Drosophila melanogaster: one gene and its partner. The protein of the gene in region 1 binds, or shares a complex with, the protein of each later gene. Each region holds a gene or a part of one and is shown on either strand. Other genes may lie near its edges. The genes, in order: disp and hh. A codon is read from its position in the direction of its gene.

Region 1 (7,725 bases):
GCAATAGCCTGGAGTCTTTTGAAAATAGCTTTGCCTAATCCTACCAAGTACAATTACACATATATCTAGAGTATATCAATGTAGAACTCGCACAACACGTACATATGCCACCGCCAGCATATTTTAAAACTAAATATGCCGACACACGGCGTGTATATGTATATATAAATGTATCTCGGGCAGGCTTGAGAGCCGCCGTACCCTGTATAAAAATGCAGTTGCCTGATTCTTCTTGGCAACAACAACGCGTTGTCCGGCAATAGTAACTAACTCAATTGGATGTAGACGGATACGTTTGATATTTGCACTCGTGCATCGTCTGGAATGAGTGCTCGAAGTCCCTCGGCAGCGAGGACAATGCGTGGGCGCTTTCGATGCCCGAAATGGTTTTGATCAGGCTGTTGGAGTTTAGGGACTCCAGTTCGTGCGTCTCCGAGTTCGCCAACTCAACGATGGCCGAGCTTGTGGGGGTCAGCAGCTGCTCGCTGGCGATCACTTGGCTGGGTTTCCTGCACAAAGAAATTCGAGTTTTAATAACCGATAACGGGTAGTCACCCGTCAGTCAGGCTTGATAAAAATGACATTAACGCAAAACAGAGAGATATAGAAAATTGAAAGGGTCAATACGATAAAAGCCTTACCGCTCGTAGAACTTGCTGCTGCCACTGCTTCGCTTGCTCCACAACGGCCACTTGAGTTCCAGAAAACCATGCTGAGGACCGGCAACCCGAAGCAGACTCATTAGAAAGAAAGTGGCATAGAACCAGCTAACGATCATGACAACGACCAGGAAGACGCCAATCTGTATGTAGGGCAATATGTTGGATGCCATCATGATTCCGCCAGCTAGACCAGTTGTGGTGGCCGCCATCACTGTGGGTCCAATGATGCGGGATAGTACAAACTGTGTGGCTGCCAATCTCTCCTTAACCGGGGACATCCGGTAGTGAATACCGTAATGTAGGCTAAAGTCCACAGCCAGACCGATAGCCGTGCTCACCGCAATGCTCTCCAAGATGTTAAGCTGCCAGCCGAGCAGGATGAGCACAGCCACGGTGTTAAAAATACTTAGCGACACGGTTAGTACGGCGTAGATGGAAATCAATATGTTTACGGTGAAGCATAGGAGCACTGCAAGTGATGCAGCCATGGCCAGACAAATGGCAACAAAGGTGTCGTGCGAAAGGGTGTCCTGCACATTGTAAAATTTCAGGTCGCTCGTGAACCATCCTCCTTGAAGTTCCGGCGGTGCCGTTTTTAACTGCATCTGAAACCAGTGCTCTACAGACTCGTAGAACTGCCTAATATTTGCGTAGATGGTGCTGTAGGCCACGTTGGACTCGAACTCGATGACCAGGGCTTTGACTAGTAGCGGTGTAAATGATCCGTTGGTGCTGTACTCTGCACTCTCATTTCCACTCATTCCTAGGTAATCCTCAGTCTCCAGTCGGGGAGCCTCTGCAAACTTGGGTCCTGCCACGCCGGGCCGGAAAAATGTAGTGTCATACATGTTGGATATGCTTTGTGGCAAGCAGTACTCAAATATGTGCGGCTCAAAGGGAAACTGTGCGTCACAGCAGGGTGAACGGTCTTTCCTGGTACTGTCCATATCATCGATGCATCTGAACAACATGAACAAAAGCTTCTATTAATGATTGCAAATTGTATTGGTGTCTCTATATCTCCTGTCTTAATCCATCTAAACCAGTTCCAGCTTTCAAATGTAAACAAAATCGATTTTTCTGAACCCAGTTTTAATGAGCTTTCTAAGCCATTGTAAGTATGTATATAATTGTATATGCTCACCTGCGCTTCATATAGTCGATAAGATTTTCAATGAAACAATTGGGCAACAGCATGCCGAGAGTCTCTTTGTAAAAGGGTTGCTGGCGCACACTCTGGCAAAAATCAAGGATCCAGAGTTGTGCCGGCCTGCTGGATACGTTAAAATTATTGTCATAGTGCAGGTGGCCGTATGAGTTGGGGTTCGTATAGTCGCCGTCGTCCACCGCTTGAACGCCCCAGACGAAATGCATGTGCATCTTGAAGTTCTCGTACGCCTGCAATGGTTTCTCGAACCAGAACTGCTGCTTGAGACTGGAGTAAACCTCAAATGGATGCTTTGACACAAAGAGCTGGAAGTGTGATTTTTCCGGCAACTGAAGTCCTGGATACCAGAACACAATGACGGCACTGGACGCGCCTAGAGCCCCAAAGATCAGCAGCCAGAGATAGGCATAGTTCATGATGCTTTTCGTGATGCACTCCTCAAACATCTGACAAAATCGGTTAATTGACTTCTTGCAGGCGTGGATCAGCTTTATTGACATCGGATGATGGCAGGACATCCTTGTGGCAAATAGTCGTTCCATGATGGAGACCGATGCAGGCAACCAAGTTATCATTAGTAAGTAGTTGGTCACCACGACAGTTCCCGCAAAAATCCTAAAAATATAATTTATTAAATGAGCATTACTAAATATTAAGATTCATCTAATCTTGCTTTTATTAACTTACCCAAAGCACTTTATAGCTGTTATAGAGCTGCTGTAGGAGGCATAAAAGGCGCCGGCGGTGGTAAGTGAGGTAACGAACATGGAGGCAGCGGCATGTCGCATAGTCAGCGCCATTATGTTTTCCAGTGACTCCGTGTGATCACTGTTCTCCAGGGTGGGAAGAGCACTCTGGGACTGAGTGGTCAAGGTACATCGATTGCTGAACCTCTCGGTCAGCACACAGTGCCAGATCTTAAGAAACAGAAATACGTCGTCTGCTCCAATGCCAATTATTACTACCACGGCCAGAAGGTTCATATAGGGGAAGAACTCAAACTCCAGCACGATGGCGTAAAAAAAGTACGCTAGTCCTAGCGAAAAGCATATGGCTACGCAGGACATCAAGGTGATGAATGCCGATCCCGTGTACAACCACACGCTAGCCATGACGAATGTCCCTCCCAGCGAAACTAGCCACACGTCCGTCAGCAGCAGCTCGTTAAAGAGTTCGTTTTCGAGGCCCAAGTCCATCGCAACCACTTCCACAAGCTCGTTGATCAGCTCCCTGAAAAATCATTCAGAATATTATTATCAAACAGAAAACATCAAAAATATTTTTAAATAAAAGAAAAATACAAAAAAAATTGCAAAATGGATCCAGTTCAACGGGAAAAGGAATTAATTAAAATGGAATTGCCAAGGACGAGGGTGCTTGTAACCACCAGCAGAGCGGATTATGTGGATCATACTGAAAGAGCCGTTTACAATCCCCCGATTAAGAAAACCCAAGAGGATCCCTCTCTAATAAGTGGTCACTACTGCGCAAATCTAAAGGTTGGTGGCATTGAATATAAAACAAAGACATGGCCCCAATCAATGGACTGGCGGGAGGACTACGCACAGTTCATCAAGCGCAACAAGTGGTGTAACGAAAGGATCTACAAGCTATTTTTTATGTATCCGCCTGTGGATTTCCGAATTCTGAAGGACTTTGTGAAGGACCTTCGTAGATCGGTGTACATGAACGATTACTCTCGGAATGACTTCGTTTCTTTTGTAAGTCGACGGCGCTATAGGAACAAAAAAGGTTACTCTCTCAAGGACGAGGACTATCGGACCACATATGGGTGCTATTACAATTTCCTGCAGGAAACGGAGCCGTTTAGGAGCTCCTTCTATCCAGAACGTAGGCTAAAGGACACTACTCTGGACAAAATCGCCAGCGATTTACGAAAAATTTTCACAAAGTACAACTTGACCACCTATTTTGATACCATATGCGTTCCGGCCTTGATGAAAGCTAAAAATAATGTAATGCCCTCCACACCCATCGACCGGTATCAATTTCGCAAATATTAGCTGTGCTCCATACTTACACGTCTTCCCATTCGTGGAACAGTGGCAGCAAGCGGTTGGATTGCGCCACGGGTATAAAAATCATGGCGTATTTCAGGTATACATTCGAGTCCTACAAAAAAAAAAAGTGCCAATATTATATGGTCGAATTTAATGCAATACGAGTAAAGCAACGGACAAATACAAATCTGTTTTAATAAAAGAGTTTTGGGGTCTAAGCTTATTTTAAACTCAATAACTTACATTAGACTTGATGAAACTAAAGTCGGTGAGAAAATTCAGGACGTTAAAGACGATATTTAGCCGCTTGCACTCTTCAGGAGCACGACAATGCGGTATTTCGTTGCAGTGGTTGTCCATCTTTAGGTCATGGAAGTACTCATAGCAGCCCAAGAGCAGCGTGTGCAGCGAAGTAACATCCTCCGTGGTAAGGTCGAAACAGGAACTTTTGTTGGCCAGCATGGCGGCGTAGTTGGGCAGTGACCATGGCCGGCAGCACTCGGTGGTAAGCATCTCCGGCTCGCAAAATGCCCGGTAGCTGGGGACTTCGGTAATCTGATCCTGCAACTGACACATGGCCAGCAGTCCGTTCAAATCAAATAGAGAATCGGTGGCGTTGGGACCGATCCGCTGGACCACAAAATGAGAGTACTCCTTCCGGGGCGATGAATCGCAAAAGAATCCCTCGATGGGTTGGCGACGATGCATGTCTGCCCAACCGTCGGTGGGCAAGGTGGCGGCTTGCTTTAGGAGCCGCCAAGTGCTCTTCTTGGTCTGCACCCGCTGCTGATGCTCTTCCTCGTCCACTGAGGTGGTGTTGTGGCCATATTCGATTTGCTCAGTGCGTCGCGTGGGTTCCAAAGAGGAGGAAGCGCTGTCGTTTGTAATCTCGTAGTCGCGAAATACTCCACTGTCCCCGATCCAGGTGTCAAAGCCGAGATTTGGAGAGGGAGAACTAGTAGCCTTCAGCCGTTTTTTGAACTGCATCATCTTCTGCGCCACATCGTGATGCTCGTGGCTGCTTTGATTTTGTTCCTTGCGTCGCTTGTTCTTGTTTCTGTTCTTGTGCTTGTTTTTGCGTCGCCTGTGATTCGGATGCAGCTTCGTCTCCACATAGCCCTGCTCTACCCGTCTCCTCTCCCACAGATCCGATGGATTTGAGAAAAGAGCACCATGGTGGTCAGTCTCTTGCAGCAGGTTGTACCAGGCCGTCAGTCGTTCTCCAATTTTGGTGCCGCGGGTTTCGAAGCCCTAAAGTGAAATAAATGTTGAATCATAAATATTAATCATGACAAATAATCACATTATAAAGTGATCAAATAAGTCATATTAGTGAGAAATTAATCTTATTATTTTCCACAATTTTTACAACAATAACATAATAACAATGAAAATATAATACAGGAATAGTTTGTATACAAGTAATCCTGTAGTTTCTTATAGCAATTCTGTGAATATTTAAAATATTTTAACTTCTTAATATTTAAAAAAAATAGATATATAACGAAATTTAAATAAAATAATATCATTTAGACATTTTCGGATTATTTCCATGTGCTCAATATTTTAAAAAATAATTGTAAAATAAGATAAGATATATTCTCCAAATATCAAGCAGTGAACATGTTTTGGACAAATCTAATAGGACAAACCAAGGTGGGATCACTGAAGTCCGGCAGCTTGTTCAGGACGAGGGCCACGATGATGCAAGCGACACAGTAGACAGCAATGGAGACGACCACCAGGTAGGGACGCCTGGCCAGGACGTGGTAGTACCAGTTCATCCTCTCCGAGTCGAAGCACAACATGTCAGTAGAATGTGATGCCCGAATCCTCTTTACCCTCTTCGCATTGCGGGAACATCAAATGCTCCTTGGGTTTCCGCTTCCCTTCAGTGCATCCTTGGCGGCTGGAAGTCTCGAATAACGTTGGGCTGGTGGGTGCTCCTTGGGACCAAGCCAAAGTCTATTGTTTTGCTTCTGTTATAGATACTGCCTGCTGGTCAGGCCTCCGCCGCAGAGATCGGCTTGTTGGATTGCATTTTTATGTAGGCGCGCGCCCGTGCAAATAACTCAGGGTTCGGAACTAACTTAAACAACAGAAAAACAACCGAAAACTATGCGAATAAGGATAACGCAGAAAACGGTGAAATAACAACAAAAAGCAGCACAAAGGATACACTGAGTTAATACAGTGTTGAGCAACTCAGTCACCAGTGATGATGGCCCTAAGCCAGACAAACAGCTGTTCTCCGAAGGAAGAGATTCGTGAAGGTAGTCACAATGAGCTTATGCAATATTCACTTCAACTTTTGTTACTAGCGTATGACTTTAAGCGTGTATTACGGTCATGACACTATTTAAGCTTGAAAATCTTTGGGTACAGCCGAAACTAAATACAATTTTTCGCCCTAGAATTTACCAAATTTGGCTAAATACGCTAGACTATCGGCACTATTAAAACATATGTTGCAGCAGCAGTGCTGCAAAACGCGAACTAGTTCCGCAGCTTGTGCAATGTTTTGTAATCGTATTTGCAAATTTATTCAATTAATTAATTATAAATAAAAAATGCTGCGCCGCGCACAATGCCTGCTCCGGCTGCACGGCAATGGAGGCCATTCGCTGGTCAGCCGCTTTCGAAACTACGCTACGGACGAGGGAAATCCGAAACAGAACCCGAATCCAAATCCCAGGGCACAAAAACCCGGCACCAAAAACCTGCCGGCTTTAAGGAACCCCTTTGCCGCCGCCCAGGACAGGACGAAAAACAGCTACCTGACCATGGTGGAGATATTCCAGGAGCGCGACGTCCACCGTCGGAACCATGTGGAGTTCATCTACGCGGCACTCAAGAATATGGCGGATTTCGGGGTGGAAAGAGACTTGGAGGTCTACAAGGCCCTGATCAACGTGATGCCCAAGGGCAAGTTCATACCCACCAACATGTTCCAGGCAGAGTTCATGCACTACCCCAAACAGCAGCAGTGTATCATTGATCTGCTTGAGCAGATGGAAGATTGCGGGGTGATGCCCGATCACGAGATGGAGGCGATGCTGCTTAATGTGTTTGGCAGGCAGGGACATCCACTGCGCAAGTATTGGCGCATGATGTACTGGATGCCAAAGTTTAAGAACCTATCACCGTGGCCACTGCCCGATCCTGTTCCGGATGATACATTGGAAATGGCCAAGCTGGCGCTAGAGCGGATGTGCACGGTCGACCTGCGGTCCAAAATCACGGTTTTCGAGACCAGCGAGCTGAAGGATGCCATTGACGATACGTGGATCGTGAGCGGAATGAGTCCCGAGCAGGAGAAACTGCTGCGGGAGCACTCTCGCCAGAAAGCTCTGTACATCGAGGGACCCTTTCACATATGGCTTAGGAATCGCCGGATCAACTACTTTACCCTGCGCGCTGATGCAGATTCTGAGTTCCTGTCTGAATTAGATGAGCGGCAGCTGGACGAGGACGATGTCTCCCACATCGAAGTACCCTTCTTTGGTCGTGCTCCACCAAGGCGACACAACCAGCTGGGAAAGCTGCGCTCTGTCCACCAACAGGACGACGGAACCATTATGGCCATCTGTGCCACAGGCACCTCCACAAAGGACTCATTGCTCTCGTGGATTCGCCTGTTGGAAGCGAACGGAAATCCCTCCATAGGAGAGGTGCCCGTCCTCTTCCGGTTCACATCCGAAGTGCCAGCCAAGGCGGAGGAAATTGAAGGTGGCGCCAGTGTCCCGGCAACAAGTGATAACAGTAGTCAAGATGAGCACATTAGCAGTAGACAGAAATAAACAAATTGTTGAGCACTTTTTCGTCTTTGTATACCATAGAATTGATGGTAAATGTTGCTTAAAGTTAGTCGGTT
Region 2 (4,915 bases), about 17 Mb from region 1:
TTCACAAATGAGCGCCTTAAGCAGCTCCGCCCCACAGATACAGATACAGATACAGATGCGGAGGCCCAAAGACACATTCGAAACTCACACAGATACACACAGCGACGAACGTAATGAGTTCGGTGCGCACACAAAGAAGGCAGAAATTTATGTGGCAGCCACATAGACTCTCGCACACACACTCGAATGCCCGATGGCCCAGCATCCAAGACTCGTATATTCCATACCCCCTTCCATTTCAGCTTCTTCATCTTTAATTTGGTTCCGTGTATCTTGTTGATGGCGTTTTGCCTTCTCTTATATCTTTTGCCGCCACGACCAGCTATTGTATTTCTCCTCTTTCGATTCGTTTTATTTTTTTTCTTCGATTCATTTCGTTTTTTGTCGAAATTATTATGCTATGCCTTGCATTCCAGAGCGTTACCAAAAAAAAAAAAAATGCTATGCCCCCCCATGGAATCCGTTACATGAGCAGGTGCACCTTGGCCCTTGGTTCTACCCCGTTGGAAAGTGACAATTTCTTGGGCACACATTGACGGGCGTATTCCACAATTCGCGCTTGCCAAGTGACAGTGCAAATAGACCTGGTGCAACCGCAAAAAAATAAATAAGGTCTGGAAAAAGAGCCAAAACAAAAGATTAGCGCTTGCCACAGATCCAAGTTCTGAAAGTGCGAAAAAGCTAAAAAGTTAAATTGGAGATTTCCCAGTTGTGGGGAATTTTATATTAGCCAAAGTCAACAGAGATAAAACTGGAAATTTATTGATTTCCAGAGTGCGGCATCAATCCGCAACTTAGTTATTTGCTGTGCATAAATATAAGGTACCTAATTGCAAATTGTATTTGCCAAAATCGTTATCGGTTTTTGCAATATATATAGACATATTTGCGATTATTGACATGGCGTTGAACGGAACCTCTGGCGGAGAAGGAAATTGTTAAATTGACCAGTAATTTGTAGGTCCTAAGGCGATATCTAATCGGAACATGACCACTACCTGAGGGGCATATGAATGACTCACTGGGTGACATAAGCTCGGAGCCTTCGATGATCATAAAGTACTTTAGTTTTAAGCACTTTTTCCGTTCCTTGAAGACTGGCAAACGGAAGCAGCATTGAACCCATATGTACTCCACATATCATACCATATACAATATACATATATATGTATGTATATATATAAGGCTGCCCAGGAGTCACACAATACACAAAAAACCGGAACATTATTAATTTACAAGCAATAAAGCGAAACGAACAACAAAACGAAGAAAGGCAACGGAAAAAAGTGAACAATGGCCTGCGATGGAGGAGTTGCAGGGCCAGAAGCGGCTAACAAGCCACAAGACTCGAGTCGAGTCGAGTCCGAGTAGTGCAAGTGTTAAGAGAAATTGCAGTTGCAGTCGAGGATGCTGCAGCTCTTCTGCGCCAGCAACGCACACTATCACACATCCAATTGGCAACAGGCACACACTTTCATCCATGGCCATAATGGACCGCAGCACACTATGCCAATGCCATCCAACATCTGTTGCCAACATTGCTTGTACATAAGAGCCGAAGACTCAGGCACTAACACATGCAAACCAGTCTTGTGAGTATGCTGCATCATCTGGTTGTCCCGCTTCCACTTCCCTTGCGCATAAGGCAGCATAAAAATGAACACCACAGCCGATCGAACGTCGAGTGGCATACGCATACAATCACAACGCGGAATGAACTCGAGGCGATAGTGTGTGTGTGCGTGTGTGTTTGTGTGAGCTAAAAGGCCTAGGGTTCTTGAAAGCACCCTCGTCGTACTCGTACTTATACTCGCATTCGTATTCGCTGCCGTACTCGTACTCGCACTCGAACACTCTGCGCGCACGATACTCCGCTCGGAAATGTCATTTGTCAATCACAGTGCGAGCGCAACGGTTGTCCGAACCGAGAGCTAACTGCCAGTTCAGCGGAGAACAGTTAAGACCGTAGTTAAGTCAGTTAGGACCTGCGATTTCGCCGACTCAAGTATTTCGATTTAGCCAGTTTAAATCCAAATAATACCATAAATCTGAATAACAAACGTGTCGCCAAATAAGCGTGTCTGTGTGCCAAAAGTGAAGTGCTAAATAACCAAAAAAATAAATAAAAAAAATTAAAGGAGATACAAAATCCAATCAAGAGAAACAGCAAACAACGAGTCTTAGATAAATCATGGATAACCACAGCTCAGTGCCTTGGGCCAGTGCCGCCAGTGTCACCTGTCTCTCCCTGGATGCCAAATGCCACAGTTCCAGTTCCAGTTCCAGCTCCAAATCCGCAGCGAGCTCCATCTCCGCAATCCCGCAAGAAGAAACGCAAACGATGCGCCACATTGCGCATACGCAGCGTTGCCTCAGCAGGCTGACCTCTCTGGTGGCCCTGCTGCTGATCGTCTTGCCGATGGTCTTTAGCCCGGCTCACAGCTGCGGTCCTGGCCGAGGATTGGGTCGTCATAGGGCGCGCAACCTGTATCCGCTGGTCCTCAAGCAGACAATTCCCAATCTATCCGAGTACACGAACAGCGCCTCCGGACCTCTGGAGGGTGTGATCCGTCGGGACTCGCCCAAATTCAAGGACCTCGTGCCCAACTACAACAGGGACATCCTTTTCCGCGACGAGGAAGGCACCGGAGCGGATCGCTTGATGAGCAAGGTAAGGAAAACCCTCAAACACCGTAAGCTAGTAACAAAATTTGTAATACATCATTGGGAAAGTTTCGCTTATCGGAATCATTGTGACAAAGTGACTTAAAAATTATTTGTAAAAACCGAAATATTGACTTATTAATCACGATTAATCAGAAATTACTTAACATTTAGTATTGTTAGCAACACAAATGAAGTGAAAACCCAGTCTTACGCCAAATAAATGACTAATTCTAGGAAAAAATGTGAGATAACTCTACCAAACGGAACTTGTAATGCTTTAATAGTACACTTAATATTTGGTCTAGGTATTATTTTGTGATAAAAGTAAGCCTACTTTGATATAGGAACACAATGAAATGCCTGTTAAATCTGAGGTATGGAGGTCAAACACACCATTTAGATGAGATTTTATTGCTGATATTGTTCCGAATTCGTCTTCTATATCAGACAGCTGGGTTCCGATTTGCGGCTAGGCTAATTCCGTGCTTATTGCGCACTGCACTCACATTTTGCCACCCGTCGTGGTCCGTAAATTCAATTGTCAAATTAGCGATCGCTTATCGCTCGCGCTGTTTTATAGCCCGTATCTAGCGATCGCCCGATGGCACGAGATTGTGCCACTCGGTTCCCATTGATAAACGCTACGTGGCGGAAAAGTGCCCAATCATTGATCGAGCATTGGCTATTTCACCAACTTTATGGTGGCGATGGCTGCCATAAAACTGGGCTGAAATATAGTATTAGTTTTGAGCATTGGCCATTTATATGATTAATTATGCATCTTATCGCCGCACTGCACTTGTTTCGCAAGTGCAAAAAAACAGGAAGCCCGATACTCGACGGCTGAACGGTAGATAGCGCCTGAATTCCATCGAACTAAGCCATAAAGCTGCAAAGCGTCCCGAAATCCAAACAAACCGAGCGAACGCGTTCAACAACCTCGAGCCCAATCGATCCCCGGGTCATCATTGCAAATACATAGTTTACTCAACATTGTGTGTACGCTTCGCAAATGCGTTTTCGATTTCGCGCTGAACAACAAACAGGGTATCGAATGCGGGAGATTACAAGTCCCGGTATTTATCAGGTTTTACTCAGCCAAAACCACCGCCCACCGCCCACCGCCCACCCTGTCCGCGCCCCAAAAGTGGAGGCACGCGAGCATTTGCCGCTTATCACCGGCGATTGTCTGATAAGCGGACTGCAGCCAAGTAGTTCGTTTGCCAATACACGGTTACTATCCCCCCAGATAGTCACCCTATATTTGCCAACATGTGTAGCTACATGCTGGCACTGAAAGAAATTGGGTTCGCTTGGCATAATACTATATGCTTGCCACTTTATGGTTTATGCTAAAAGAGGTATATGATGGTTTTTATGTGTGAAATAAAATGTGAAAATTAGTTTAGGTGCAAGTTATACGTTATACGTTATACGTTGCTAGTTGCGCTATATCGGTGCCAGAACAAAATGTGTGCTAAGATACCAGCTAAGGCGAAGAACAGCAGTATCTTATCGCCATAAAAAAAAAGGGGCGGGGGTAGTGAAAGTGGAGTGGGTGGCGGTGGGATGACCACCCAGTTGGTGGGGGAGCGGTGGTTGAGTTTCAAAGTGCGAAACAGCTAAAACAAGTGTTCAATTCAAGCACCATGCGACAACATTTCCAATTAGCCAGCAGTTAGTGGGGTGGTTGCGTTGCGGCCAGAAGTCGGCTTAGCACAGTCAAGACCCCCTAAGAGGGCCGACATTGAAGTTGCTGATATATATAATCGGCACGCTTCCCACCAGCTTATCTTCGTGTTACTTTAATGAAATTTTAAGTGTCGATGTGTAAAAATAGCCTTGTTATTGATTAGCGCCATAAACGAGCTATTGGGCTTTTATGGCGGACTTCCAGTTTCCTTGGACGATTTGGTGCTATTGAACAACAAACTAATAATCAGAATTGTGGGAAGACAGATTACGCCTGCCAACCGACTAATATAGTTGATTTAAAGGGTTTAGTATCGCCCACACAAGTGTTACAATGACTTTCGATTTGTTGATTTATTAGTCAGTGGTTAGTGTTTCGCAAAAACGACTTAGATCTTTAAAAATCAGATTTTACTGTACTGTAAAGTTAAATCGTATTATCGAACCAGTTGTTCGCCTGCTAGAGTTTCACTTGAAAACCAATTCCAAATTGCATTTGGCAACTGCCACGCGCCCATCGGGGGATTCTAAATGGTTGCAGCCATTTCAGATGTTA

What was found.
Region 2: the proteins of disp (region 1) and hh are in contact, whole or in part, in a cryo-EM structure (PDB 6TD6), measured with the Drosophila melanogaster proteins. Residues at the interface, in NP_524734.2 of Drosophila melanogaster: His77 (codon at 5,030), His78 (codon at 5,027), Arg250 (codon at 4,511), Tyr253 (codon at 4,502), Glu296 (codon at 4,373), Ala404 (codon at 3,918), Gln405 (codon at 3,915), Ser406 (codon at 3,912), Asn407 (codon at 3,909), Arg408 (codon at 3,906), Gly434 (codon at 3,017), Asn755 (codon at 1,982); in NP_001034065.1 of Drosophila melanogaster: Tyr100 (codon at 2,489), Pro101 (codon at 2,492), Val103 (codon at 2,498), Leu104 (codon at 2,501), Lys105 (codon at 2,504), Gln106 (codon at 2,507), Thr107 (codon at 2,510), Asn110 (codon at 2,519), Leu111 (codon at 2,522), Ser117 (codon at 2,540), Glu164, Lys165, Val168, Ala228, Gly229.

The regions. Positions count from the first base shown.
Region 1 is NT_033777.3:5,850,250-5,857,974, forward strand, and holds the start of disp (dispatched), read right to left. Parts: upstream 6,063-7,725; 5' UTR 5,660-6,062; coding exon 5,504-5,659; intron 5,103-5,503; coding exon 4,095-5,102; intron 4,034-4,094; exon of another isoform or gene 3,964-4,033; coding exon 3,872-3,963; exon of another isoform or gene 3,855-3,871; coding exon of another isoform or gene 3,147-3,854; exon of another isoform or gene 3,083-3,146; intron 3,061-3,082; coding exon 2,518-3,060; intron 2,446-2,517; coding exon 1,807-2,445; intron 1,623-1,806; coding exon 642-1,622; intron 510-641; coding exon 272-509; 3' UTR 1-271. Other genes in the region: CG34287 (uncharacterized protein), read left to right, coding at 3,147-3,854; ECSIT, read left to right, coding at 6,422-7,651. UniProt on the Drosophila melanogaster protein: Segment polarity protein which functions in hedgehog (Hh) signaling.
Region 2 is NT_033777.3:23,138,798-23,143,712, reverse strand, and holds the start of hh (hedgehog), read left to right. Parts: upstream 1-1,806; 5' UTR 1,807-2,191; coding exon 2,192-2,671; intron 2,672-4,915.